4 linked regions of the Styela clava genome follow. The protein of the gene in region 1 purifies or fractionates together with the protein of each later gene. This does not show direct contact. Links are inferred from orthologs where the notes say so. Each region holds a gene or a part of one and is shown in the gene's direction. Other genes may lie near its edges.

Evidence for each region. The genes of interacting proteins can lie anywhere in the genome.
Region 2: the proteins of histone acetyltransferase KAT2A-like (region 1) and transformation/transcription domain-associated protein-like purify together in Drosophila melanogaster (affinity purification with western blotting; 4 studies listed by BioGRID). This does not show direct contact. The link is inferred for Styela clava from reciprocal best matches to the Drosophila melanogaster genes Gcn5 and Nipped-A.
Region 3: the proteins of histone acetyltransferase KAT2A-like (region 1) and DNA polymerase epsilon subunit 3-like purify together in Drosophila melanogaster (affinity purification with mass spectrometry; 3 studies listed by BioGRID). This does not show direct contact. The link is inferred for Styela clava from reciprocal best matches to the Drosophila melanogaster genes Gcn5 and Chrac-14.
Region 4: the proteins of histone acetyltransferase KAT2A-like (region 1) and transcriptional adapter 3-like purify together in Drosophila melanogaster (affinity purification with western blotting; 3 studies listed by BioGRID, with this or other methods). This does not show direct contact. The link is inferred for Styela clava from reciprocal best matches to the Drosophila melanogaster genes Gcn5 and Ada3.

The regions. Positions count from the first base shown.
Region 1 is NC_135256.1:13,953,134-13,960,538, forward strand, and holds the start of histone acetyltransferase KAT2A-like, read left to right. Parts: upstream 1-4,404; 5' UTR 4,405-4,416; coding exon 4,417-4,599; intron 4,600-5,212; coding exon 5,213-5,296; intron 5,297-5,623; coding exon 5,624-5,708; intron 5,709-6,084; coding exon 6,085-6,200; intron 6,201-7,330; coding exon 7,331-7,405. Other genes in the region: transport and Golgi organization protein 6 homolog, read left to right, coding at 683-3,781.
Region 2 is NC_135262.1:5,122,408-5,129,775, forward strand, and holds the start of transformation/transcription domain-associated protein-like, read left to right. Parts: upstream 1-4,357; 5' UTR 4,358-4,435; coding exon 4,436-4,520; intron 4,521-4,971; coding exon 4,972-5,021; intron 5,022-5,296; coding exon 5,297-5,407; intron 5,408-5,879; coding exon 5,880-5,984; intron 5,985-6,421; coding exon 6,422-6,505; intron 6,506-7,008; coding exon 7,009-7,065; intron 7,066-7,368. Other genes in the region: copine-3-like, read left to right, coding at 393-629, 1,189-1,566. UniProt on the Drosophila melanogaster protein: Part of the Tip60 chromatin-remodeling complex which is involved in DNA repair. Upon induction of DNA double-strand breaks, this complex acetylates phosphorylated H2AV in nucleosomes and exchanges it with unmodified H2AV.
Region 3 is NC_135251.1:20,534,837-20,539,685, forward strand, and holds DNA polymerase epsilon subunit 3-like, read left to right. Parts: upstream 1-3,945; coding exon 3,946-4,338; downstream 4,339-4,849. Other genes in the region: renalase-like, read left to right, coding at 1,863-2,590, 3,129-3,462. UniProt on the Drosophila melanogaster protein: Accessory component of the DNA polymerase epsilon complex. Participates in DNA repair and in chromosomal DNA replication. Histone-like protein which promotes nucleosome sliding of ATP-dependent nucleosome remodeling complexes.
Region 4 is NC_135257.1:11,363,264-11,370,722, forward strand, and holds transcriptional adapter 3-like, read left to right. Parts: upstream 1-4,448; 5' UTR 4,449-5,227; coding exon 5,228-6,514; 3' UTR 6,515-6,952; downstream 6,953-7,459. Other genes in the region: protein RRP5 homolog, read left to right, coding at 7,110-7,459.

The DNA.
Region 1 (7,405 bases):
GTGGGGCATTAGTTTTTGAATGGTCTGAAAATGCATGGCCAGTTTTAGTGATATAATCTACTGACCTTTGTGCCCACCCACTAAGGGCCCACAGAATTTCCGTACCCAAGGTGAAGAGACGTTATTATGAGTTGGATTTTCAGTCCCTTGAAGATTAGTCTATTCAGAAATATTAACCGAATAATACACAAATAAATGCTGACATGTGGAATTTTTGGGCATAGTATGGCCAGTATATATATATCTACTGTCTAATTGCAGAATTGTGATGAATAACTTATGCCCAAATGTCCCATAAATTCTGAAATTTACATGTAGCCTACAGATGTATTTGTATATCTATTTATTATTTTGTTTAAACAACTCCCAAGGCTGCAATGGGAATCAAACTCCTAACTCGAACTGTCTTATGCCACCTCATGACCCGAAAGTTTAGTTTTAGCACATCCAACCTAACTCAAAGTCGGCTGCATGACAATTATAGATCGAATATTATTTTCAACAGAGAATTTCAGCCGTTGGTTAATATAGCTGTGAAAATCTCATAAAGTTAGTAGAGTGGTTACTAATGCTCTGTCTCTGAACTGTCTTCACCTGCATATAAAATATGAAATTATCTGACTTAATTCAATTCCTCTTTTGTCCAGCAGTTCAACTCTATCTATTTTGCCTAATTTGAGAAATGGATGATATCAAGGCTGTGATTGCAAATGTCACTGATGTTATCAGATTGAAACATGAAGTTTCAAGTGGTGATGTACATACCCTGGAAGGAATGTATCAAACTGTTATCAATTTGTTGAAAGAGAGCGAAATACAGTTTGACAGTGTAGAACTTTCTGAATCTCAGGCAAAAATATCAGTATATTTTGTGCTACAAAAGTTTATACAGTGTATACAAATTCTGCTTTTAAAACTTGGTAAGGAACTTGAGAATATTGGTAATCTTTCTGAAGGACCATATTTATCAGTCGCAGATGTGGATCATGTGTCTTGCCTATTGCAATTTGTGTTCAAATTTGGCATTGTATCTCATCTTGAACCAAGTATACAAGGAATTATGATTTCAAAAATTTCACATTTCTATACTGAATTTACCCCAAGACAAAAATATGGAATGCTTCTTGAGAATTCCTTATTTATCCATGTTATTTGCAAAGCCATTGAAATCAGAAACATAGTCACCAAGAATTTATTACCTGAGATTATTGCATCTTATATGCAATTATGTTTTTCTCCAAATTCCGCCAGATTAATAGACATGAAAGATCGAAAAAGATGTTTACAAGTTCTTAATGAAATAATAGAATCATGGATTTCAAAAAGCCGTCTTATACAAGAGATTTTTGTACTACAAGGAAACCCAGAAACAAGACTTTCGCCAAAATGGTTGCGAGAGAAATGTGGATCAATATTATCAAGAACATTGCTGGAAAAAGAGGGCATGAAAGCTATTATTTCTGCAGTTGTCGAAAACTCGCGCGATTCTGATTTCAAAACTGCTGGATGGGAGCATATAGTTGCACTTTCTTCAATTATTTCTACCCTTCCTTCGAAGGGTATTCCTGCTAAAAAATATTGTATTTCGATTGGCCATCAAGCGATTGAGTTGATTTCTGATTCGCGAAAAGACAATTCTGAAGCTATGCATGTTGTCAGAAAAGTAGCTGTTACTACTCTGCATGCTCTTTACGAAAAATATCATTCAGAATCGGATATATTGGAAAGTATCATATGTAAACCTTTGTCGGAATGCTGTTTTACAATCGGAAAAGAAAAAATGTTCCATGAAAATGTTTCTTCTGAAGAAATAAATGACTGCATTGAAAACTTACATGATATTTGTATTTCCATCGGAATTGTTCCTGATGTAGCACTTTCTGCACTCATCAAACCCTATTTGAAAATATTCTTTCAGTTGATTTGTGATACAAATGAAACTTCTTCTCATCTAAACTTATTGACTAAAGAACTTTTATGTAAATCCTTAAAATGTTCAGATGACTTGAAAGCAGAGGAAATGTTTTTTTCAATGTACGGGCAAATTAAAAGCACAGAACTTGGGATTAAAACTCCATTGATTAATCTGAAGTTTGAAGTGGATGCAAATGGAAACGTTTGTCCAATAGCTAACAACAAATTTTTTGAACCTTCAGAAGTCTTACAACATCAAGATATTAAAGTAAATGTATTGCTAGACATTTTATCGAATATGGATAATAGCGGATTTATTGGTGTTGTGTTTATTTCACTTTTAAAAATTATTTGCGATCCATCGAAAAATTTTCCAAATGAAATTAATGAGGACAAAATTATAATGACACCTGAAGATCGAGCTGTTCAAGCTTTGAAAAATAACGAGACTCGATTTATTACTTTCGGTTTATTAACGACAATGTGTGAGACATACAATCCGAACACTTTACTTTCTGATGTTTCTCAAATAATTAGCTTTATCAAAACAATGTTGCAAAGTCTGGATAATAATTCACTCGAAATGTTAGGAACTTGTGCCAGTGTATTGGGAATATGTCTAATGAGCGATATGACCTCTGAAGAAAAGAGTGAACTGTTGTCTGTGGTTCCATTGTTGCAAAAAATATGCGGTAATAATAATTTGGATAAACATACAAGAGATTTGTTGTCGGATCTTACAATTGCAATATCAACGTATGGCGCTGTAAATGAAACTTCAATGGATGCATTCTCAGTATTAATGAAAGAACAAATGAAAAAGTTTGAAAATATGGATTTGAGTAAAGAAACCCAACCAAAATGTAATGAAGAAACTACATTGCCATCGCAAGCAGCACCATTGCTTGTTGATACAGATCGGGATACTGTTTTGAATTCTTCTGGCAGGGATCAGTCTTCAAGTAGTGAAGATACCATTAAGAATAGTAGTAAAGAGACTCATTCCACTTCAGTGACTGATTCTATCGCTAATGAAGAAGATTTCAATCTATCATTTTCTCAATCATTAGATGAAGTATTTGACCCCAGTCCTGCCATAAAAGGAGGTTCAATTCGTTATTTGACTAAATGCATTGAAAGAAAACTGCCAATTGCTTTTAAAAAATTGGACAAACTGGTTGAAATTTTTGTAGAATGCTTGGACAACCAGGATTCATTTGTTTATTTATCTGCTGTACAAGCTTTAGCAGTAATCGGGTCTTTGTCTGTAAGCAATATTGCTTCAGAGTCTCTCCTAAAAAAGTTAATCAATATATTTATGAGAGATTCTGAAACCAAAACCCAAAAAAATAATTCAAATAATACCATTGATGCAAAAATGAAAGTGGGTGAAATTATAATGAGAATAATTCGGCATATGGGTGATATGGGACCGTATCACGCTTCTATACTATTACCAGAGTTTCTGAAAGGTTCTAGACATGTTAATCCTGACATGAGAGCAAGTTGTTTATCAAATTTTTCTGAACTTGCACCTATGGCACCATATTATTTATCTCAAATACAACAAGAAATAAATGAGTGTCTCAGCAGTACTGCAAAATCGGATCCTGATCCTATGGTTCGTAGAGCAGCTGTGCATGCTATTCGTAATCTTATAACTAAACTTGGTAGCAATTTTATACAGATATTTTCTAATGTTACAAAACAAATGTATCGAACATTGAAGTTTTTATATGAAAGAGATGAGGATACTGCGGTACAACTACATGCTCAGCTTGCTTTGGAAGAACTAGATAACATAATGCGTGAAACCATTTTTAAGAAGCAAACTTTATCAAAGAAAATTACAGTGTTGCCAATATAACATAAAATTTTTGTTTGTATCGTTATACTTAGCCTATCAGGACTCGGATTCTGGGAAACCGTACACCTGATTCCAAACTCTTATTCATTTAAATATTGGCTCTTGACACCTACTTAACAAAAATGTTACCTGAAGACTCCAGTTTCGAACTCTGATGAAACTAAATTTTGGTACGAAAATTTGGGTTTTGGCAAGACTTATGAATTACGTGTTTACAATGCGGATTTATGCTTTATGAATTTCTGTCTAAAATTTCGATTTTGTTTATCACTATTTTGATTCTGGAAGGTCAACTTCAAAACCAAAAAATTTGATATTTCGACCTTGTCTGCGGTTCCGAGAAGTTTTAACACTGATCCAATTCCAATGCCAAAAACATCCAACTCCAAATCTACATTGCTGCATTGTTCTGCAAATAAGACAAATATCTTAGTCTGCATAAGTATTTTTTACTGATCAGCCATGTTCTTACATGAAAATGATTTTTAATGTGCAATTATTTGTTTATTTTTTACAATTTTTGTAAATGTCCTGATCCTGATGCCTTTGATGATAGATGACACGTTTCCTTAACTTTCCATTTCTTACATTTTATGTTTCCACCTATTTGTAGAATACTGATATAGCCAACATACATGGATAATTCAACTAATGTGAAAGCTGAGACGTCACAAAAGAAATCTTCTCGGCAGTCGTTCGTCCCAAGTGAACTAGCTCGATCTGCCAACCTTGCAAAAATCCAACAACGTAAGGCACAAGTTCGAGGTTATCCACGGGTTAAGAAACTTGAGAAAATTGGTGTTTACTCATCATGTAAGGTTAGTATACATCAGTGCTGATCAATTTTTTTTTAAATGATGTTCATTCAACCTTTCCTTTTAAAGTCTGGTACATCCCATCCATCTTACTATAGGTTGGTAAAAATTATAAGAATTATGTGTGAGAGACTGAGAGGATCACTTGACTACTCATTGTCATAGGTAGCCCCCGGCATGGACTGGTAACCAGACAAGAGGCCGTGGCTTGCAATTTGATTCAGTTGTTGGCTTTCCTACCCTCAGTATAAATATGAAATTTCTATACTGAAACTCTCATTATGGAGAATATAATAGGCTACATGTATACTTTTTATACAGACACAGTTAGTTCGGATTCCATCAGACAATTGTACCAACGCCTATGCTGTGGCATAATACAAAAAGTCTTCCCATCTTTGTGACCACATTCTCTCAAGACCCAACGATAAAAAAATTGGTTCATGCCTCTTTGTGTTTTTTCACATGGGATAGGTTCAAAAATGACTAAGGTTCATTGTGATAAACTACAGCTTTGAAAATCCGATTCTCGGGTTATATTGTGCCATTGCCTAGCGATCCTCATCATATGTCAAATTATTTTAATTGCTTCATTTATTTTGTTCTGACTTTTCAGGATGAAGGATGTAAATGCAACGGTTGGAAAAATCCTTACAATCAATTAGCAACAGCTCAACCTGATGCATCTTCATCACAACAGGTAAGGTGGTAGGTTGGTTTCAAAATTATTAGCATAATCCCTTATTTCTGTTGGGCAATTATTTTCAACTAGACCAAATCTTCCAACTTTTCACAAAATATTGGTGGACTATTGATAATATATTACATTGGAATGGATTTTCATATTGATTCTATGGTGTGATAATTAAAGAAATAAGATTGATGAAAAGGATACTTATTCTGGATGAAGATCGGAATGGCGGGTGATTACTACTCAATCTGCAATTTGCAACCTCCAAGTTTTTGCAGTGTTTGTGAAAAATACTTGTTTTTGATGCCATTACTGATTTGTTTATTCGTTTTTCAGGTTCAAAGCACAGTGACGTTAGAAAGCAAATGCAGGAGTTGTACACATGCTCTGCAGAATCATGTTTCCCATTTGGAAATGAGTGGTATGCATCATTCTTAACAGTTTATGTCATGTGTTTATTTTGTTATGCATTTAGGGATCAAAATCATGATATGTAGGCCTACGGATAATTTACTTCTCTTCCGTCGAAAATTTTAGTTTTGTGAACTTTGAATTGATTTTAAACATTATCTCGTTGGTTAGGTGTAGAAATAAATTATAAGCTTTTAAATATCTCTGCTATCTTCAAATTTTCATTTTTGATTTAATTAAATGATAGATTTTGCTCATTAAATGATTACAATATGATAGAATTTAGTATAGTCCTACTCATATTTATGTCCACATTGATTCATTGAAGAAGATTGCAACTAGGCAATACAATATTCAATGAAATTTTTGTTTTAATACTTTTTCAGGAGAAGATGAAATCAACAGATTATTAGGAATGGTTGTTGATGTTGAAAATCTTTTTCAATGTGTTCAGAAGGAAGAAGATGGTGATTCCAAACAAGTTTATTTCTATTTATTCAGAGTGAGAATCGCAATGTTTTTCTACTGATTATTCTGTACAACCACCAAGTGGCGGCATATTATATATATCAATATTTAAGGAGAGATATTTTTGGAAGGATCTATGTGGTTGAATGTCGCCTAAGCCCTAATACACTCTAATGCAGTGGTTCCCAAACTTTTTGGAGTTGGGATGGGACCCACTATTTATTACCACAGCTTATGGCGACCCACTTAACTCTAATTCAGTTTTTTTTTGTTTTTTTATGATGTAACACAAACACAGCAATGGCTAATCACCGCAAAACTACTGTGTTTCCTCAAAAATAAGACCTGGCCTGAAAATAAGATAATAATTTAAATTTTCAAAATGATTTTATTTAAACCCTACCCTTAAAATAATTTTTAATTTGTGGGGAGAAGAAAGGTTCATTGGCCTGAGGTAAGGTGAAAATCACACCACTATTCAAGATTGTGTAATATCACAATTATGATATTTGTCACTTGATTTTTGTATAGCAAATACAAATAAAAACAATGGATGTCGGTTTTTATATAATGTTTAGTAAAACATCTTGTGATTTTCTACAATATAATTTTTTTTTCAATAAATGAACACAAAAGACCCTTTCCCCAAAAAAACCGTAGTGTTATCCTTCAAAAGAAAATAAATCTAAATTCTGTCTAAATTTCGGGGAAACACGGTAAGAAGTGCTGTGCAGTGTACAAAACTGCTATGCAAAAAAAAAGCCACATGGTCATTCTTTGTGTAGCAAATTTTTGTTCTTTTGAGAAGATCGTAAAAAAGAAACTTTCACAGATTAGAATTTAAATTCAATTTAATTTCTTTTGCTTTTTTAAAGATTTGCGTATTCGAGTCGCCACCGATCCTAATAACCAGCATAATTAACCAATGCTTTCTACATCTTTTCACGACCCACTAAGATTCCGTTTGTGACCCACCAGTGGGTCGCAACCCATAGTTTGGGAATCGCTGCTCTAATGGGTGTGAGATTTGAACACAAGTTGGCGACGGCCATACCGATTTTAAGTTTACCGCTTTAACTGCTAGTCATCGGTCATCACATGCTAATTAAGTAATTATTTAACTGTTGGATACTCAGCTTATTATTTTTGATTATTTTGTTTCAGTTGTTAAGAAAATGCATCATTCAGTCAAGTAAACCAGTGATAGAGGGACCTCTTGGTTCACCACCATTCAACCAA
Region 2 (7,368 bases), on another chromosome or scaffold:
CTTTTGTAAGAGCAGCCGATATATAATATTGTAAAAAATTGACCAGAATACACAAATGCTTGGACTATTCGACTGACTACTGACCGCCAACCAGATTTTAAAACATTCAAATTTCGTATATCACAGAGAGTAAAGCCAATGAATAAACAGTATTGAATTTCTATTAACGCATGCATTTTATGTTTCGCAATTCAGAGCGATTTTCGTGCATTTCGCATTAGATTTCAGTTGGTTTAGTGATTGCAGTACAATAATTACAAGGCTCGTAAAATAATGTAACCAAAGTGAACAAGACTATTTCGTTATATTGACAATTGAAGAGGGGCCGTGGCCCGTGCGTTAATTTTTTGTAAAAAACTATATTTTATTTTCTTCCATTCCAATTTTAACAGGAGTATCAAGTTCTCCTTATCTTGACTGACGGTGTGGTGACAGATATGGATGAAACGAAGAAGGCTCTTGTCCGCGCTTCAAAACTTCCAATTTCAATCGTCATTGTTGGGATTGGAAATGCAGACTTCAGTGATATGGAGTTTATGAGCAAAGGAGCAAAGCATATCAAGACTCAAGAAGGAGAGTGCGCTGCAAGAGATATTACTCAGATTGTCTCATTCCGAAAGTTTAATTTTGTGAGTAGGATTTTCGTCATAAGTATCAAGTAAACTGTATACAAACATTCATCGTGATATTATATATACAAAAACTAGTCACAAACTAACATTTCATTATTGTCCTCATTTTCGCTCTTTTTAAATGCGTTGATAATAAGAAATAAAACATTCCAGTTGGGAATGTATGCATATGTCTTACATTAACTTTGTACTGAAAATGACACATCTTTCATTGTTGTATTTCTGGTGAAAATTCGCAAGTTATAAAAAGACTTTTTATCTGAATTTATCTGATAACAATGTATATAAAATAATTCTACAACTGGCAGGAATATTATTTGCGAGATATTTTTTGAAACATGCTAACTGAACCGCACATGAAAATTTCTCAATTTTTTAAACTCTATGCTGATGTTCGCAGAAATCTAATCTTTCAATTTTAATCTTGAACAGCTTTATCCTCGCTCGTCCGCTCTATAATATTTGTAGAGTTCAAGTAATACAGTATTCTCATCAGAACTTATTTCAAATCATTGGATTATATATATTATTTACGTATTTTACATTTTTGATACAGGAATCGATGGATACACTCGGTCGCAATTTGTTGCAAAAAATCCCATCGCAACTCGCCGAATACTTTGCGTCTAAGAAAATCGATCCAACGTCAGGTCATTCAAGTCCACGACGTGAAAACGGCGAAGTTAAGAAACAACCAGAAATAAACGAAACTCAAACTCCGGTTAAAAAACGACAGGCGCCAAAGGAACCGCCAAAGCAAGAGATTCCAGATCAAGAAACGCCAGAAACCCAAGAAAATCACTTGGAGATTGAAAATGGAAAACCTGAGAGTCCAAAAAGAAGTCCTCGCGTTAGCGAGAGCGATGCGAACCAAGATCAGGTTCAGGAACAAGCCGCGAAAGACAATCCAGATGTGGAAATTTCAGCGTTTTAACTGAAAATAAACGAGATTAAATCAAAATTTGGGGGCAGATGTTTCTAAAATAAACGGTTTGAATAAACGGTGTGACCGAAAATGACGGTTTGACAGTTATTATGGTCGATCATTCAATCCTTCGATTAAAAACCACAAACTCTATTTTACTGTTCCTTCACTTTTCTAAATATATTTTGAACACCCATTTTGTTTCCAACCAAGACGCAAACGAACTTGATCATAGTTTAAGACTATCAGATTCAGATTCAGATATTTTTATCTAGCTTTTTCCAAAAGAAACGGTTTAGAGAAAACGACGGTTTTCAAGCTTTCAATACGATGAATTGAAAAAAATAAATCTTTCTTTTGACCTTTCTTGTAGCCTACTTTTTTAATTATTTCTGGATACTTTTGAAGACCCATTTTGTTTTAACCATAAGGGTATCTTCTAATCGCTTTTGATCATACTATTCTTCGAAGATCTTTGGTCAAATGGATTGGAAGTCTGTAAATCTGGACCTTATGGGTTATCTTATTTACAAATAAGTTTATTACATAAATGAATATAAAACGTTGCTTTTCGTATCTTCAAATGTATAACTAAGCCATTAATTTTTCATTGCTTTTGTATAATATTCCGCTTTCTTCACATATTGTGTATTGCGAAACATAAAATGCATGCGTAAATATAAATTCGATACTGTTCATTCATTGTCGTCTATGATAAACGAATTTTCGAATATTTTGAAATATGGTTGGTGGTCAGCAGTTGTCGACTAGTCGCAAGCATTTTGCATGTTCTGGTCAAATATATATATATTACAATAATATATTTCGGCTGCTCGAACGAGAAAAATACAGAAGGATGCAATACAAATAAAATGCTGTCTAGAATGAGATTGGAACACGCGCAAATGCTCGCCCATCTACAAAAACAAAGCAAGCACATAATAGAATGAATATTATTTGAAATCAATATTGAGAAATATCAAAGCCAAAAACACTGAGTCAAGAAAGAGTTATTAAATTTGTAAATTTTACAGATTAATGTTTGTACCCAAATGCATGCTTTAATGTTAATCACACAGAAAAACATTTTATAATATTTTTACCGCAGCAGTGCAGCCATTTAACTTTCAACCCGATAAATATTACCGGACTTGAAATGGAACTATGGATCGTTCTGCTATTATGATGTTTTTGTTCGAATTTTTCTTCTTTTTACGGTATTTAATCCACCAAGCGTGACGGCTGTTTCCGAGTTGATGCGAAACCCACGCAAAACTCGGAGAATAAATAATACTCGTAACGATTGGAACTTTGTTTTGGATTTTGTGTTCATATATTTGAGCATCGCTTGCTTTCTTGTTCCATCTAGTGCCTACAGCAGGCACATTTACACTTCCAAATGGTCTCTAGGGTCCCCAAAATGATATTATTTTCAACAATGCATCTAAAATGTGTTGGATAATTTTCATGAACTGTTCTGTCATTACTACTTAAGGTGCACAGAAAAATAGCTTAAAATCTTTTAATCAGTGAATAAGTTGATGTTAGTTTCTTTCCTTATTTGTCTCTTCCAGCGATGATAAAGTCGAATGTGTCCATGCTGTATCAGGTTCAACCGTTGAAGTGTATTCACCTCAATGGGTCCAACTTGATAAAATCAGCAGTGTCGTCGTCCGAGTAGATATTTGCAGTTTTAGTTAGGTAATATTCATAAACTCAAGATGAAATCATACTAACAGACTTCAAGCTAATACCTATTTCGATTAATGCAAGGCGAGAACAATGAGGACAATCCTAATCGGATAAAACGACATATTAACACTCTCAACCTACACATAAAAGCCCTCTTGTGGCAAAAGTCGTGAATAAAACTTAGTACGATACTAAATATTGTGCAGACAGGCAAAAAACGGCGAGGTTGCTTCAATTCAGAACCCTAGCAAATCAGTTTCAGATTTTTTACGCACGTCTTCAAGTTTTTTGTCATATTTGCGCAAATAGATGTGGTAGTATATGCACAGTATTATATTGTTTCTCGATTTTTTGAATAAATAGACGAGAAGGCGCCTGGTGCCGGTAAGTATAAACCGGAATAAGACACGTAGTATAGAATTGTTGGTGTGTCTGAGTTGTGCAGATTTTTTTTCAAGTTTGCGCTAACGTAGTAAAGGCTCGTGAATACATAGATGGGTTACTTTAATTCAGTGCACACATGAAAGTAAGATGTAAAAGCCTAAAATGAGGAATATCTGACAAATGAGGAAAAACTGACTAATCCGCGCGGCGGTGTGGCTCAACGGGCTAAGCAGTAGAAATACGCTCGCCACCGCACCTCTAACTACTCTGCGTGGGTTCGCAGGTTCAAATCCCATGCAGGGATGGTTATGTGCGAGAGGATTGCTGGACTCCTCGCCGTCGTTGGGTGGTTCACGTAACCGCTGGTCAGTTACGGCTTCCTCCACCACCAAGTCCATGCTTCCGAAAACAAACAATACAGTAAAACTAATCCCATACCCGACTTGGAATGGTAACCGGACGAGAGGCCGTGGTTCGCCATATGGATAAGCCATCTTATCGGCTTTCTACTCCCCCGGGATAAATATGTAAATCCTATCCTATCCTATATTCTACTAAGACAGTAAGAGTTTTATTAAGTCTGTAAGTAGAGACAGCTGAGAAAAGCTATTTTCGATTTTCCCAGCTCCTTAAGTTACTCCCTATACCTACCTACATATTGGTTTTATAAGGTAGTGTTTTTTTCCGATTTACCAAATCACTGATTTTCACTTAATACAGATATTGACTAAATATACAATTACGGCATAAGACAGTGGGTCTGTCACTGTTGTATCATTGTATGTATATGGTTGCATGAACCATGCTTCACTCAGTGTCATCTGACATCAACCAAGAAATAAACAAATACAAGGAATATGTGTCTCTGCTCAATGATCCACTGGCTCGTAAGTAAAATTTTGATTTTTATCAGCGCATTTTCTGCTACAAGAATGTTTCTACTTCAGACTGTAATTCAAGAATTCGGCGGTGTTGCGCATCATGCTAAGACCCTCCATCTGTCCGTGAGTTTGCAGGTCGTATCCAGTGGGGGTTAATTATATTCGAGAAGATTTCTGGACACCTCGCTGCCGTAAAGTAGTTTTAATAATCGCTGGGCGGTGAGGGGTCCTCTGCCGTCAAGTCTATCCACTGGCTATCTAATCCCATACCCAACGTGGACTGGCAGCAGGATGAGATTCCGTGGTTTGCCATGTGATTAAGCCGTCTTATATGTAAATCTTAATCCCATAAGAATTGGAGATGGTCCTATTACTGTTTTTATGAATATTGTTTTGAATTTTTAGTTTTCTGTATTTTTATATTTTGTGTTTTATATGCTGTTTTCATTTCTAACAGAGGATGAAAATAAGTTGAAAGTTGCTCAAGAAGTGAGCGAACATTTCGAGGTTTGTACAATTTTTTATTGCTATGCAGTTATTTGATCGAAGTTTGGATGTTTTTTTACTCTGCTCTTATACTTACTTAAATGATATTAATATGAAATTCAGATTTTTGTTCATTCCTTTTTGAACTTTTTAAATATAAATGAAATCAGATAAATGCTTTCTGTTTTACTGTAATTGCTGAAATAATCCACTTAAATTACCACCATATTTATGCTTTTTCATTATTCATTCGGTATTCATTATTTATTATTAATTATCAATAATTAATTCTTCAGGACATTGCACATTCTCCTCAGTATCAAGTGTTTCTAAATCATTGTGTTCCAAGATTTGTCAAATTATTGCAAGATGGAGAACCAAGCTTTGTACTGGAAAATCATGGCCAGGTTAGAAAACTATAATGGTGAATTATTCATTTGGAAATAGAAATTGACCTTGTATTTATATGAGGTCAAAGGTTAGATTTTCACACTTATTACAGTTCTGAACAACAGTCTTTAATATCTCTTTTATTTCTACAATAACCTGAAAATCTTTACTGTTTTACGTTGCCTCCAATTTAACACAGGTGGAGCTGGGAGCTGTAATTAACTATTTTTTTAATTTCCGATGCCAACAAAGTTGAGTTTTGGATCTAATTAGTTAAAAATGTGACACCTAGTATACATATAACAGCACCAAAATATTTCTAAGAGATTATCGAAATATTTTACTTAAAACAACTTGCTTTTCAAATCTATCTCTGAGATTTCAATCTTGCCCACTTCTACATTTAATAATTATCAAAATTGCGAACCTATTTTATATCGGGCTATCATTATTACAATGGATATTTTATTTAACGTTCTTTTTTTACAGCAACTTCGCAAACTTGTTCTTGACATTCTACATCGGATTCCAACAAATGATTATTTGAAACCTCATGTTAAAATGATTCTCAATTTATGCTTCCAACTACTTGAGGTAATGTACAAGTAATTCATACTTAACTCAAGTAAATTGACTTAACTTGCCTAAAAATCAAAAATTATATTTGAAGTGTTATGTACCAATATGGACGGTACGGTAACGTAAAGGGACTGAACATATTGGCAGGGAAAGACTCACTTGGCTAACACAGACAGGTCCTGAACTCGTACTAAAACTAAAATAAGGAAAATCGGAAAAAAATTATGGCCTAACCCTAACCTGATACACACACTACGAAGTAACCATTGTAATGCTTTGTGTGTTTGCTTAAAAAAAGATGGAAAAGATGTCGTACATTAAAATAATTGTTTTTTATACGATACTTATTCACATATTTTGCTTGGAACAAGGTCATGTATAATCAGCCACTGATATTCAATTTTCAGCCATATTGAGAATTTAAATATTAAAAATTGTCTTTTGCAATCCAGGTTGACAATGAAGAAAATGTTCAAGTTTGTTTAAAAATATTGATTGAGCTCCATAAACAATTCAGACCACAAATGGCACCAGAGGTAAAAGTTTTAGCTGTATTTTGATATTTCGCTAATTTTCATTTTACTAATCCTAATACTCTTTTGTTAGTCTCGTCCATTTTCAAGATATGTGTGATTTTGGGAATACTGGCCAAAGTTTTTGAGGTTATTTTGTACAAGTTGCATTCAAACACTCAACAAGACTCTACTCAAGTAATCGCTAATGGATGAACTTTGCGAAAGGGGTCTAATTTTTTGTTTCTGCACAACCTACCCAATGTTCTGACAACCCAAGCTGGAATGATAGACATGGAATTTGAACCTGATGTCTCTAATTGCAATAATAACATAATCAAGTGTATTAAATCAACATGCCTGCTATAATATATCCACTTCTAATTCTAAGCTGACTGTGGGATGAAAAGTAGTCTTGACTGTCTTAAGTTTGTGCATTTGTTATATAGATATTGTGTTTGCTTGTTTGGAACTTTGGATTAGGCATGGATATAAATTGTTTGTTAATTTTTATTATATTGTTTCAGATCCAACATTTTCTTGCTCTTGTGAAGAGAATCTATTCAGAACTACCAAGAAATATGGTAAAGTATTGAATATAAAGTTGAGGGATATACATGAAAAGCATTGGCACTTTTAATTGGGCGTAAATATGTGATAGGAATTTCTGTGCCTTCTTTTGAATACATGTTTTTCACCATAAATCTCAGATCCTACAAGAAGATTGCTGAATATCATTTTTTAATACATTGCTTTCATTACACCTTTCACTCTTAAACAAGGCTATGTACTAGAAGCCACTGATATCAATTAATCTGTAAAAAGCTTCCATTTTTGATATGATCAGAATCTTTTCAGCATTGCCCAATTTATTACATCCTGGATGA
Region 3 (4,849 bases), on another chromosome or scaffold:
AGTTGAATTCCATCAATTTTTTTAAGTCTAGTGAAAGTAATTTTTTGTATTTTTTTTAAATCAAATGACATTGGAATTTTATTGAACTGCATTCCTTTCACCGAAAAAGTTGAAATTTCACCCAGGTTTTGATGGTTTTAAAAATGGCCTAAAATGTAGAAATTTTGGTATAATTGACATATTTTGTGATGATTCCTGTTTTGATTGTGTGATACAGTTATTTCATATGGTCTAAATGGACTCATTGAATTTAAGTTAATAAAGTTTAAATGGTTGCAGTGCTGTAGGACATTTCTTCACCCTTTTAACGATTTATTACCATAATTTTGAGAGATGATAGAGGCCGCTGTTCCGAAGTGGAAAAATGTCCTGTGGTGTCACATACAATATCCACATTATTGGCATGGATTTACACTGTTACATTAGGGGAATTGAGCAACACATAGAGGGGTCCTTCAGCTACTGCACCAGAAAATATTATGGGCTCCTGCTGTACCAACGCAAAAATTTACAGCACAACATAATGTACTGTTAATGCATGGTGGATTTACCGTCCTGTAGTGTCACACTATATTTTACTATATTTTTTATATCCACTAAGAATGGGTGTGTCTCTTGGGTTGAACTTTTGTTGAATTTTTTTCCATATTCAATAAAGCAACTGATTGGACAATGAAACAAAACATGTAGCTGAAAATGTAAAAATATATTGCATCTAACAACATGAAAATTTTCTGAAATTGTCCTGTAGTGTCTCTTGGAATAGCCCATTTATGTAGCCTATTGCTTCATTAAAAATCATTGCTTTTTCATTAAATATCAGTTTATTATACTAACTCTTGGTCTGATTCTTATGCTCAGCTATTTAATATGCAACTATTAAAAAAATATATGTGGACTATATATTTTGAATAATCTGCCCTTGTATGATAGTAATTATTGTCATTAGTGCCCAATTGCAGCATTCAAAAAATGGACCTTTTCCATTTACTCCCACCCTGACTAATATCCATAATTCATTTCATTTTTTGTTTGATAATGCTGCAAATTTTTAGGATTTAGTCGATTAATGGTGAATGCATTGATAAAGATGAATGGGCCCCATAAAAAAAATAGTATCCAAATATTGAGGCGCAGTTCTTACCACTTTATGGCAGCTCCTGCCACAAACGAACCGCGGCAGCTCTTGCAATGGTTTTATAGCGCTTTTCAGTAATCAGTATTAACGGTATATTCACAAATTAATGTACCAGATTTTAATTGATCATGCGGAATTATATCTACTCAAACCCTAACCCCAAATCCATCAAAACTGTATCCATAAGAAAAACGTTCCAACTCACCCAATATTTTTCACCATAAGGGACAGCCCTTTCTTTACGACCCACCTGCCGTGGTTATGGCAGCAAAATTTTACCTGCCATTGGTTTTCAATTTGCTGCCGGGGTAACGGCAACCTGTCATTGGTTTGTGGCAGCTAAAAAGTCAGTCGCCATAGGTTTGGCCGTAGCGGCCATGGTATGGAAAAACCGCCATGGTTTTGCGGAAGCTGCAGGCGCAACAAAATACTTAAAACTGCACTTGCAAATATTAGTGGGGGTGGGTTCATTTTTTTCACATATTCACATTTTTTTTTTACTTTATGTCATCTGACATTATGTTTTAAATATTAAATTATTAATATTCATCCGTCCACCAAATGACAGAATTATGTGATAGATTATTCTTCAATATACTGATATACTTGCTCTGTATATCATCACCTTTTGCCCTATGATACAACTACAAGATATACATCTGACCAACTTACAGTTACAGTAATCACCAAATTGTTTTATCAATTACAGTATACAAATATTATCATGGTTCGAGTATTAATTGTTGGGGCAGGTTTAACTGGTGCACTTTGTGCTCATATGTTACGAAGGCACCTTCCAACACAACTTCAATGTCAGATTGTTGTTTGGGAAAAATCTCGCGGAGTTGGTGGAAGAATGTCTTTGTCAAGACCATCTGAAATGGAAGACTGTTCTGCTGAACTTGGTGCCCAATATGTTGAACAGCATACCAAGTATATTGAACAACATAAATATTTTTATAATGAATTATTGGAATCTGGAATACTGAAACCCCTTGAAGGCAAAATTGATGGTTTTCGTGAAGGGATAAGTGAGAATTTTACTTGTGGTGGCGGTTTAAATATGATGGCAAAACATTTTTTTGCCAAATCTTTGGTAGAAACCTGTTTTAACGTTAGACTGGACAGTCTGAGACTTACTAGCGATGACCAAGAAGCAAGTTGGAATGTATGGGAGGCTGCAACAACCAGTGGAAAGCATGATCACTTTGATGCAGTTTTTCTGACAATGCCTATACCCCAGATTTTAGGAATTGAAGGTATTACAGACAATTTGCAGAAGCAGCAAATTTCAGATCTTGAAGGGGCAAGTTATTCCTCCAGATTTGCAGTGGGGTTGTTCTATGAACCTGGTGCTTATAATATCGATCTCCCCTATGTTGCTAAATTTGTTGTCGATAATGAAGTTATCTGTTTCATATCTGTTGATCAAAAGAAAAGAGGAATCGAAAGGTGAGAGAAAATATGATTTCTGATTGCTTTTTCATGTGCTTATGCGGTGATGGATGTTGCCAAGAGTCTGCGAGTGATACAATTGTTTCTAAATTATGGATGACATGGCTTTTATTAATAAGTCCAAAAAACATCTTGTATGGAATATTTTAGTGTTTTTGTGGTGATATTCGAGTATTGAATTTGAATTGGCCATCCCTGTTTTTATGTGCGTAAATCACTAAATCAAACTATTTTTTTCAGAGATGTAGTTAACACATAAATTTATAAAGTCGGGGCCCAGTGATGAAATCTTTTTTATAACTTGGAAATGATTTCTGGAGTATGATTGGGTCTATTTTTCTAGTGCAATATTTATTTAAAATTTGCATTTCTCCCAAGGGATGCATTTTCTTGTCTTGCTTCATAAACAAGTCTTGTTTTTCATGCTACCTTTGATTATATTCAACTATCATGTAAACTTATTTTTTATGGTGTCATCCTTTTGTGCTTCAATTTTTTGTTAATCTTTTTAATACTAGCATTTATATTTTTGAAGGAAAACTCAATCTATTGTTGTTCATACTTCTGCACCATTTGGAAAATCACATTTAGAAGAAGACGCTGAAAAAGTTGGCCCACTCATCATTGAGGAACTTAAAAAAATTATCCCTGATCTTCCAGAACCTACCTATGTCAAATATCACAAATGGAGATATTCTCAAGTCACCAAAGCAACTGAATCTTCTTATGGATGCTTGGTACCAAGAAATAAACCTTTGCTGGTATTGGCAGGAGATGGTTTTACTCACTCTAACTTTGATGGATGTGTTCAATCTGCTATAGTTGTTGAAAAGGAAATTTCGAAATGGCTTTCAAGTAGTGTACTGTAACCTATTTACAAGCAAATTTACAATTACTTAATTAAGATAAAAAGTGCATTTCTGTGCTTTTTCCTTTACATGAAAGATACGGTATTCATGTACAGACCAGTGGTTTTTTAATCGGGATTCCTCGGAAGTTGGCAGAACCCTAGTACAGCCCGGGGGTTACGCAAGTTCACATTACCTATTTGCAACTATTATTTTCTCCACTAAAGTTCATTTTGATTAACAGTATTTCGTTCGCTCTTATTATATTTATAGTTAATACAATTTAGACAATAAAAGACAGGGTTCCTCCAAGTTTAATAAAAACCACAGGCACAACCCTTTCTGGTTAGCTCTTCAAATATTTTGTGCACTTATTATGCTTTGCTGTTTCATGCTTTTATGTGACTTCACTAAAAACTTACCATATCTTTCGTTAACTTAATAATGACTGATCACAAATTTTCCCATTTTCAGGGATATAGCGCTATAAATAATTTAACAAAAATGGCTGAAAAACCAGAAGATTTGAACCTTCCTAATGCAGTCATAGCGAGAATCATGAAAGAAGCTCTTCCTGAAGGAGTGATCGTTTCAAAAGAAGCAAGAGCAGCAATATCAAAAGCAGCCAGTGTTTTTGTTCTTTATTGTACTTCTTGTGCTAATAACTCTGCAATGCAACAAAAGCGTAAAACTTTGAAAGACATTGATGTCCTATCAGCAGTTGAAGAAATGGATTTTGAAGGCTTTATACCAAGCTTAAAACAAAGTCTTGATGCATTCAAGGCCGAACAGAAGGAAAAGAAAGAAGCATCTGAAAAAAGGAAAAAATTAATAAAAGAAGCTCAATCTGTAGATGTAGAGAATGAACCCGTGACTGAAACTGTTGTTGTTGAATAATTCTTTATTATAATAGTACTCAAATTTCTGGCGCATTAAACTTGATTCCAGTTATTCTCGGAGACTTGCAGACTTGAGTGAGATCTTGTTTTAGTTTCCAGCCATGTGGTGCGCCTGCAAACTCATCAGAAAATCCCAATTCTACAACGTGAGAGTGCCTAGGAGAATAAAATTATATTCTGATTTAGTGACTGTGCATCCTGGTATCAATAACTAACAAATTAGTTTTTGTAGAATGACTCCCAATTGTAAACTACAAGTTCATTTATGTGATAAATGTACTATCTTGTTATTATACTTTGATTTTGTTTGTTTATAACAGGGATGTCCGAATCCATTTTTCAAATTAATTATATTTAGTATTTCCAGTTCTCCAAAAATTATCGTTTGGGTATTGGAAGTCCTCAAACTTTTGATGTTTAAATACTCTTTATCCTTACTATTGCGTACTTCCAAATTTTCTCCTAATGTGTTCTTCGTTGAACGTGACACAATTATGTATACATTTAAT
Region 4 (7,459 bases), on another chromosome or scaffold:
ACAAGTGGGGTACAGTGGGACACTTGACGTTTTTCAAAGCATTTTGGTAGTAAGATGTGTGTCGCAAGGGAATTTCTTTGTTGCTGAATAAAAACTACATTTACCCCTCTATGCATTAGTCCCGCAAACTTAAGAGAATATGCAGAATTAACGGCTCAAAATATGCAAAAGAAAAAAAGTGTCCCAACCTTCCCCACTTTCCCTCTACTGTTTTTATTTTGACAGAAGAAGACGCAACCGCGAGTTATGTTGGGCTGAATTAAATTAATATATAAGCACATTTTAGGTTCTTGTAGTTGTAATGGATTAAGTATTTTACGCGACAGAAAAATCATTTTACGCTGAGAAGGCCGCTCTTTAAACGAGCTCGTAATCGCGGCGACTGTTTCCGACGGGGATGCGAATTTCTCATTTTTAACCAATATGTGATAATTGATGTGATTCTGAATGTACTCAACTAATAGCCTATTGGACGATAACGACAATAATAAAAGCAGCGTGAAAAGTTAACAACAACGAATGAAGTGAAATGCAACAAAAGCATTCCACGTCCTGGCATTCCAAATTTAGTTTTCATCAAAATCCCTGTGCTTTGTGAACTTATACTGTGTAAGTGTAAACAGTATTTTTTATGGAATCTATCATCAAATATCCGTTACATCTGACGTTCGACTGTTCACGTTATCCTCAGCTTCGATCAGTTTTCCATGATAAACTTCACGCAGACCAGCATGATCTGATGCCAAAGTGACTATAGTCAATTTGTCTGATGCGAACTGATTCATATCGTATCGGTACTGTATGGTGGCCCATCGTTGTCACGTGTAAAATTTGAAAAAAAAAAATGATAAAATAAAATGAAAAAGCGAAAATAAAAAAATAGATGTGAAAAAACATAAAAATAATTGAAAAAAAGAAATAAAAAAAAATTGAAATTAAAAAAAAAAAATTGAAAAAAAAAACAAAAAAAATTGAAATTAAAAAAAAAAAATTGAATAAAAAGAAAATAAAAAGGTTGACAACGATGGTCCGCCTCGTGGCCCATCGTTGTGACGCGTTTTTATTTTTGAAAAATTTGATGCTGCTTGGGACCAACGTTGTCAGGCTTAATCCTACACGCACAAATGTGTTTCCTTGGTTTCTAACTCACTACTGATTTTCATGAGCAATATCCAATAAATTCAACATGAAAATGTTCTATAAATTCTCCATACTACAAGTTCAACCACAAGCAATATATTTATAATAATGATAAGAGAATATAGAATTGGATACGAAAATTTGTTTTCACGTGTAGAAGGTAATTTAATTGGAAAATGCTGCTTAACTGCGTAGTTGTCTGGACACTCGTGCGATGCCGGTACGGTACCGTCTGACCGTACCGGTACCCATGCAATCACTCATGAAAGAATGGGAGATACGGATAGTCTCGTAGAATATAGTCTACTGAAACACTCTCTGCGCCTGCCCCATACCGTACAGCCGTAACGTACCGATCCAGACAAATGATAAATCGCCCGTGCTAGATTTGGGATTAGGTTTCATGTTTAGGTAGATATAATTCCCCATGATAAACTTGTATATGGTACATGACTTTGTGAATATAGCGGTAATGGACCTTTCCCCGACCTCTGACCCCCGGAAATTCTTCCTATACTTTACCATTGCAAAATTTTTGGGGCTATTTTAAGAGTGCTTTTGCGAGTTGGTGCCTGTAAAATGGGGTATGTGTTTCTAATCATCATTATAATTCATCGCATACAACAATCTGTTTTTTTAAAGTACCGGTAAAGGATTTCAAGCTAGTCTATTACAGCTATTTCTACACTAATTTTTATTACTGCAATTAAATTAAAACTCCTGGGAAGACAGAGTGATCATTGAATTATCTGATTTATATTCAAGTTTCCGAAACACAACTAAAAACTCACGAATAGAGTTTAAAAACGCGAAAACGAGGTAATGTTTACAACCACGCTTGAAAATCTGTCTGAGTAAGAAAAATGTCTGGGCGGATGCGAAAAGTATAAGTATATAAGTATAAGGGGGCATTGTTACGTCACTTTTTGCAACTTGCTGATTGGCCAATGTCACGAAGTAAACAAGAAAGTCGATACTCGGGGAAAGGTCCATGGCGCCATAAAACCATGGCATGAGACGCCGCGGTTCGTTCGTGGCAGAAACCGCCATGAAGTGGTAAGAACTGCTCGGGCGCACGATGCTCCACACCGCCCACCCCCAACAAGGATTGATAGTTCGCTAGTTGCAGGCAGCCTGGTTTTGTGGTAATTGTCTTTGACAGTTTAAGTAATTTAAGCAGTACCGGTACCGGTATGTCACTACTAGGCTCTCGCCAGGTGCAGCACGACTGTGCTGTACGGAATCGTACCGGTATCATTAATTTATTGAATTCAATGAAACTAATTATTTTGGCGAATGATTGTTTAGTACCGGTACCGGTACCGTACGGGGGTACGGGGGTACCAGTCAGACGGTGTACAGTCCCGGTACATGGTACAGCTGTACAGTACAGTGATAGGTACCGGTACCGGTACCGTACTGTCAGACTGTACGGGGTGAGCGTGGTCTAACCATTTTCGCATATGTTATTCCTAGGCGCGCGCGGCGGTGTGGCTCATCGTGCTAAGTGTTAGGAATACGCTCACCATCACACCTCTGATTACTTTGCGTGGGTTGGCAGGTTCGCAGGTATGATTAGGTGTGTGAGGATTGCTGGACTCCTCCTGCACAATCATGCGATGTTCTTTTTTTCATTTGTAATTTTTATTCTTTGATTGATACCACCACCACCCTATATGCAAATTAAAACAGCGTTTATTGGCGCCTTGGCCGATTATAATATGACAGTATGATGCAATATCGTCCAAATCTCCGTGTATGCTATCAGATTCACAAAATGGATAGGAATTCACCATTTTTATAGATGGATTTTCGTATGCCTCGGTGAAAATTATTGAAGATGCTGTTATAAATAGTCTGAAGTGTTTATATGTACTATATAGCTTTGGAAATATGGTATTTTAAATTTTTCACCCATTCAGAAATTGCCTCATTGTCACGATTTGATTCTTGTCTAACATAAAGTAAAATTAAATTTGAGGAAATTATAATTGGCCCTACGCCCTTCTTATTCTTTCTCTTTTTTTTCACATTTTTTATTCCTATTAAAAAACATTATGATCTGCGAAATTATGTGATGTTCCCGTTTCTTGTTCCTTGTAATTTTTGTTCTTATTTCTGTACTTTTGGGGAATTGATTTCTGAGGCCTCCTAAACGGGCTTAAAACTCAAAAATTTATTATCCTCTTATTGTAATTATGATGCCTGCTTTAGAGTGTCCTGTCCTGGTAGAATCTCTCCTTAGGGGTCGGTTGACCTTTGAATTCTTGTCCATCCTCGTCCGTATATATTTTTATGCCTATTGTTGTTTGCTATGCTTACTGTATTATGTACTTGTATCGGAAATAAATCATTATCTATCGCCGCCGTAGGGTGGTTCACGTAACTGCTGGTCGGTTACGGCTTCCTCCAAGTTCATGCTTCCGAAAAACAAATCACTAATCCCTAACTGACATGGAAATGGTAACCGGACGAGAGGTTGTGGTTCGCCATATGGATAAAGATATGTAAATCCTATCCTAGACCCCACCTTACTACGCCAATGTAAAATCTCGTCATAGAGCCATATTACTGTTACAGGTACCGGTAGGTAAATGCAGAAATGTGTGTCTACTGACAGACATGCCTGAATTCTGAGATTAGTCACAAAAGAGGCCCATACAAAAAGTAGATGGAGGCTGGCACTAGAGAACATAAAGTCTTTGCAATTCCACAGGTCTCCAATTCCAAAAATAGATTTCACATTAAAATACATCACTTATGACAGTGAGTGCAAACCCCTCCTTTACGGGACAGTCTGTGCCTCCATATCGGCAAAATTCACAGCGCAATAAACTAAAAGAAAGTGTGATCTAAAGACGCCACCATCGGATCCATTGGAAAAAAAATAAACCGAATTACAGAATAAAAAAAAAATATTATATCGTTTAAGCGTGCGCGTAACGTTCAAGTGTCTTAGCAAAAAACTCAATTTCGAATATGTGATGGCCGCGATTGATTTAGATTATTTTCGAGACAAGCAGGGCACGATCTGCCATCGTGCCAGACGTCCACGTTTCAGAGATAAATAAGGTTTTTATTTTATTGAACCAAATATCGGGATATCTTGGAATCAGAAATATGTGCCCTACTGAATTCATGTAGTCACCGAGAAAAGAGATGTAGCCTACCTACCCTTTGTTGATGTCACCAACATAAGTAGACAACTCAATACAGACACATAAAATAAAGACTGCCAGGGCTCTCTATCAATCCCTGGCCTTGACATTCCTAATTTGTCTAAATTGTACTCTGGAAAGCGCAGAAATTACTGACTAACAATTTCAAGTTGCAAAAATGACATTTTATATGAAAAAGGTTGAATTCTAAAATATCCAAATTCACAGTCACAATGAAATACTGTTAGTGAATCGACTCTGCAATATTTCATACGTTTTAAGTGACCTGAGAAAATCTCAGATATTGTTTTTATTTCATACACGTTCAGTACGGCACAGTTCTCTGATTCCAAGAATAGCCCCCACATTAAGAGACATCAATTATAACAGTGAATGCAACCCCCTCTTTTATGAGACAATCTGGGCCTTCATATCGGCACAAAAGAGCACACCGGCACCGCACAATAAACTAAAAAGAAGTGCAATCCTCAAAACATCATCATTGGACACCCCGGAAAAAAATAGTTCGATTTATCAAAGGAAATAAATTTTATCAGAATATCACGCACGTTGCTATTGATTTAAATTATCATTGAGACAAGCATGACGTGATCTGCCTGCCGTAGTGTCAAACACCCTCATTCAGATACATATATTGTTATTTTTATTGAATCAAATGTCGGAACATCTTGGAATTTAAGCACTGTGTCCTACATACATTCAATTTCACAATAAATTGAATGGCGAAAATCAGAACATGTCCAGTAAAACAAGGTGTATTGCAACCTTAATTTTTACTATTCATTGATTGGCAATCATGCATCCTAAATAAAATGGTGCATATTTAATAGTTCTAACCTTATCTCTAATTAACAAACCATACTTTTGATATAGTATTGGCATTTGTATAATACAGTAACATTATTGCAATGGACTTGAAAGATTGTTTCTTACAATTTCCTGATGTGAAGCCTGTGGATCATGCTAAAAATTGTCCAAGATACACAAATATCGTTAATCGGCATAAAGATGATGGAGTATCATTGGATGAATTAGATTCTTTACAAATGGAGTTGGAACAACTACTTGCCGCTGCATCACAAAGGATGAGACAATTGAACTCGGAGATTGGCATATTGTCAGACCTACAAGACAATAAAAAAGACAAAAAAGTTTCCAGAGGCAAAGATACTGAGCATAAGCGCTCTCGAATAGTTGAAGATCGTCCAGTCAAAAAGATGAAAACATCAGACTCATCATCTCATATTCATGCTATAAAACCCTTATTTCATTTGAATAGTTCAACGTCATCACCAAGTGGTGCTGGCAGGTCGAAGGCAAAAGGCTCTCGCATTGAAACAGAAACAAATGACGAATTACCCGTTTTACAAAGGAATGCTGAAGTTCCTAATAAGTTTTGGCAAATGGTTGATACATACTGTGGGCCCATACCACAAGAAACAATTTCGCTTTTAGAGAAAATGGAAAAACCAATTTCTGAGGAATATTTTGAAATTCCCCCTCTTGGCAAACATTTCAGTCAAGTTTGGGCAGAAGAAGATTTGGCAATGGAGGAAAAAGAAGGGGGTAGAATTGGAAAAAATAATAGTAATACTGAGTCATCTATTCAGAGGATAATGAAAAAAACAGCAGAAAATTTGAATGATGCAGAACCATGCCCATATGGGTCACTTACCCAGCGATTGGTTTCTGCTTTCGTGCAAGAAAATATAATAGCGCCACTGGATTCTGGTCTTGCCAATGATGGAAAAGCATTTGAAGCTCTTACGAACAATGACCAAAATGTTGCTTCCAAAAATGGCAAGGCATCTAGTTCTCCCCATACCACAAAACTGGAGGCCCGAATAAAGGCTGAACTATATGAACAAGGTCTTATTGATCATTTTTCTGAAAATGATAAAGATGAAGATGAAGTTCTTTTGGAACTGAAACGATGTCAACAAGAATTGAGGGCAATAGGTGATAGAAATAGGACAATTGTTTCACAACTTTTGAAACTTTCCAGAGATGATATGAAAAAACAAGAATTGAGAAAAAATATTGAAATAACAAACATTGAAGTTACTGAACATTACAGAAAGGTTTTTGCTGCTCGACAGAAAAAAAGAAATTTGATGAAAAAGGAAAAAGAAAGTGCATTGAAAGCTATAAAAGAACGAGAAAGTTTGGTCAAACAGTTAGAACAATTGAACTGATTTATATTCAACGCACAGTTACAGATTATAAGTTTGGTTTGAATCTAATTGGACTCGTGGTAAACATACCCATGCACACAACCTCTATCGTGTATGGGGATGTTGAAATATCAATACCGGTAATTAGAATTCAATTAATCTAAATGGTCTATTTTTACAATAACGTGTTTCATATTTTAAACAATCATGACATTTCCCTGACAATGGTAAATTTTTTGAGTAATCTTATATGCATTTTGTTTATCAAAACTAAACATACCATGGTCATTTTGAATAGATGCTGAGTAATTTGGTTTGTCAATTGTTCCTGCAATATCTTGTATCACAACTTACGAGTTGTAGTTTAAAACCCTAATTTGAAAAGACATGAGAACTCATTAATATGATATTATGTGATGTGAGTATGTATTATTTTCTATTACTGTTGTTTCTCTATCTTTGCAAATTACACATTGTTGGAATTTTGAGAAAAATTGACTTTTTTTGGTAAAACAGAAACCTTTTTTTCTTTCCTAATGTTTATTCGTTTATCTTTTTTATACAGCAGAAATTTTGGTAAAAGTTAAATTACATTCGTAACTCTAATTTTTCGACTATGGACGAAATATTATTTCCGAGAGGAAAAGCAAAGCGTGAACCATCGACTTTTAAGAAGAAGGGTGCCAAACGCCAAGCCGCAGTTGATTCTCTGTTTTCAGAAGGAAGCAAGTCATCTACGGGTGGGCATTTTACAAAAGAAAAGAAAAAACCAAAAGAAAAAGATGAAATAATCAAAAGTCATGGTATTAAAGATGTGGATGGATTGTTACAAGGGATGGATGAAATAAATGTGGATTTTTTGCATTGCAAAAGAGTACAAGAGGGAACACTGCTGTTGGGGTGTATTCGTGAGATACAGGAACTGCAACTTGTTGTTGGTATACCTCATTGTAATACTGGTCAAGT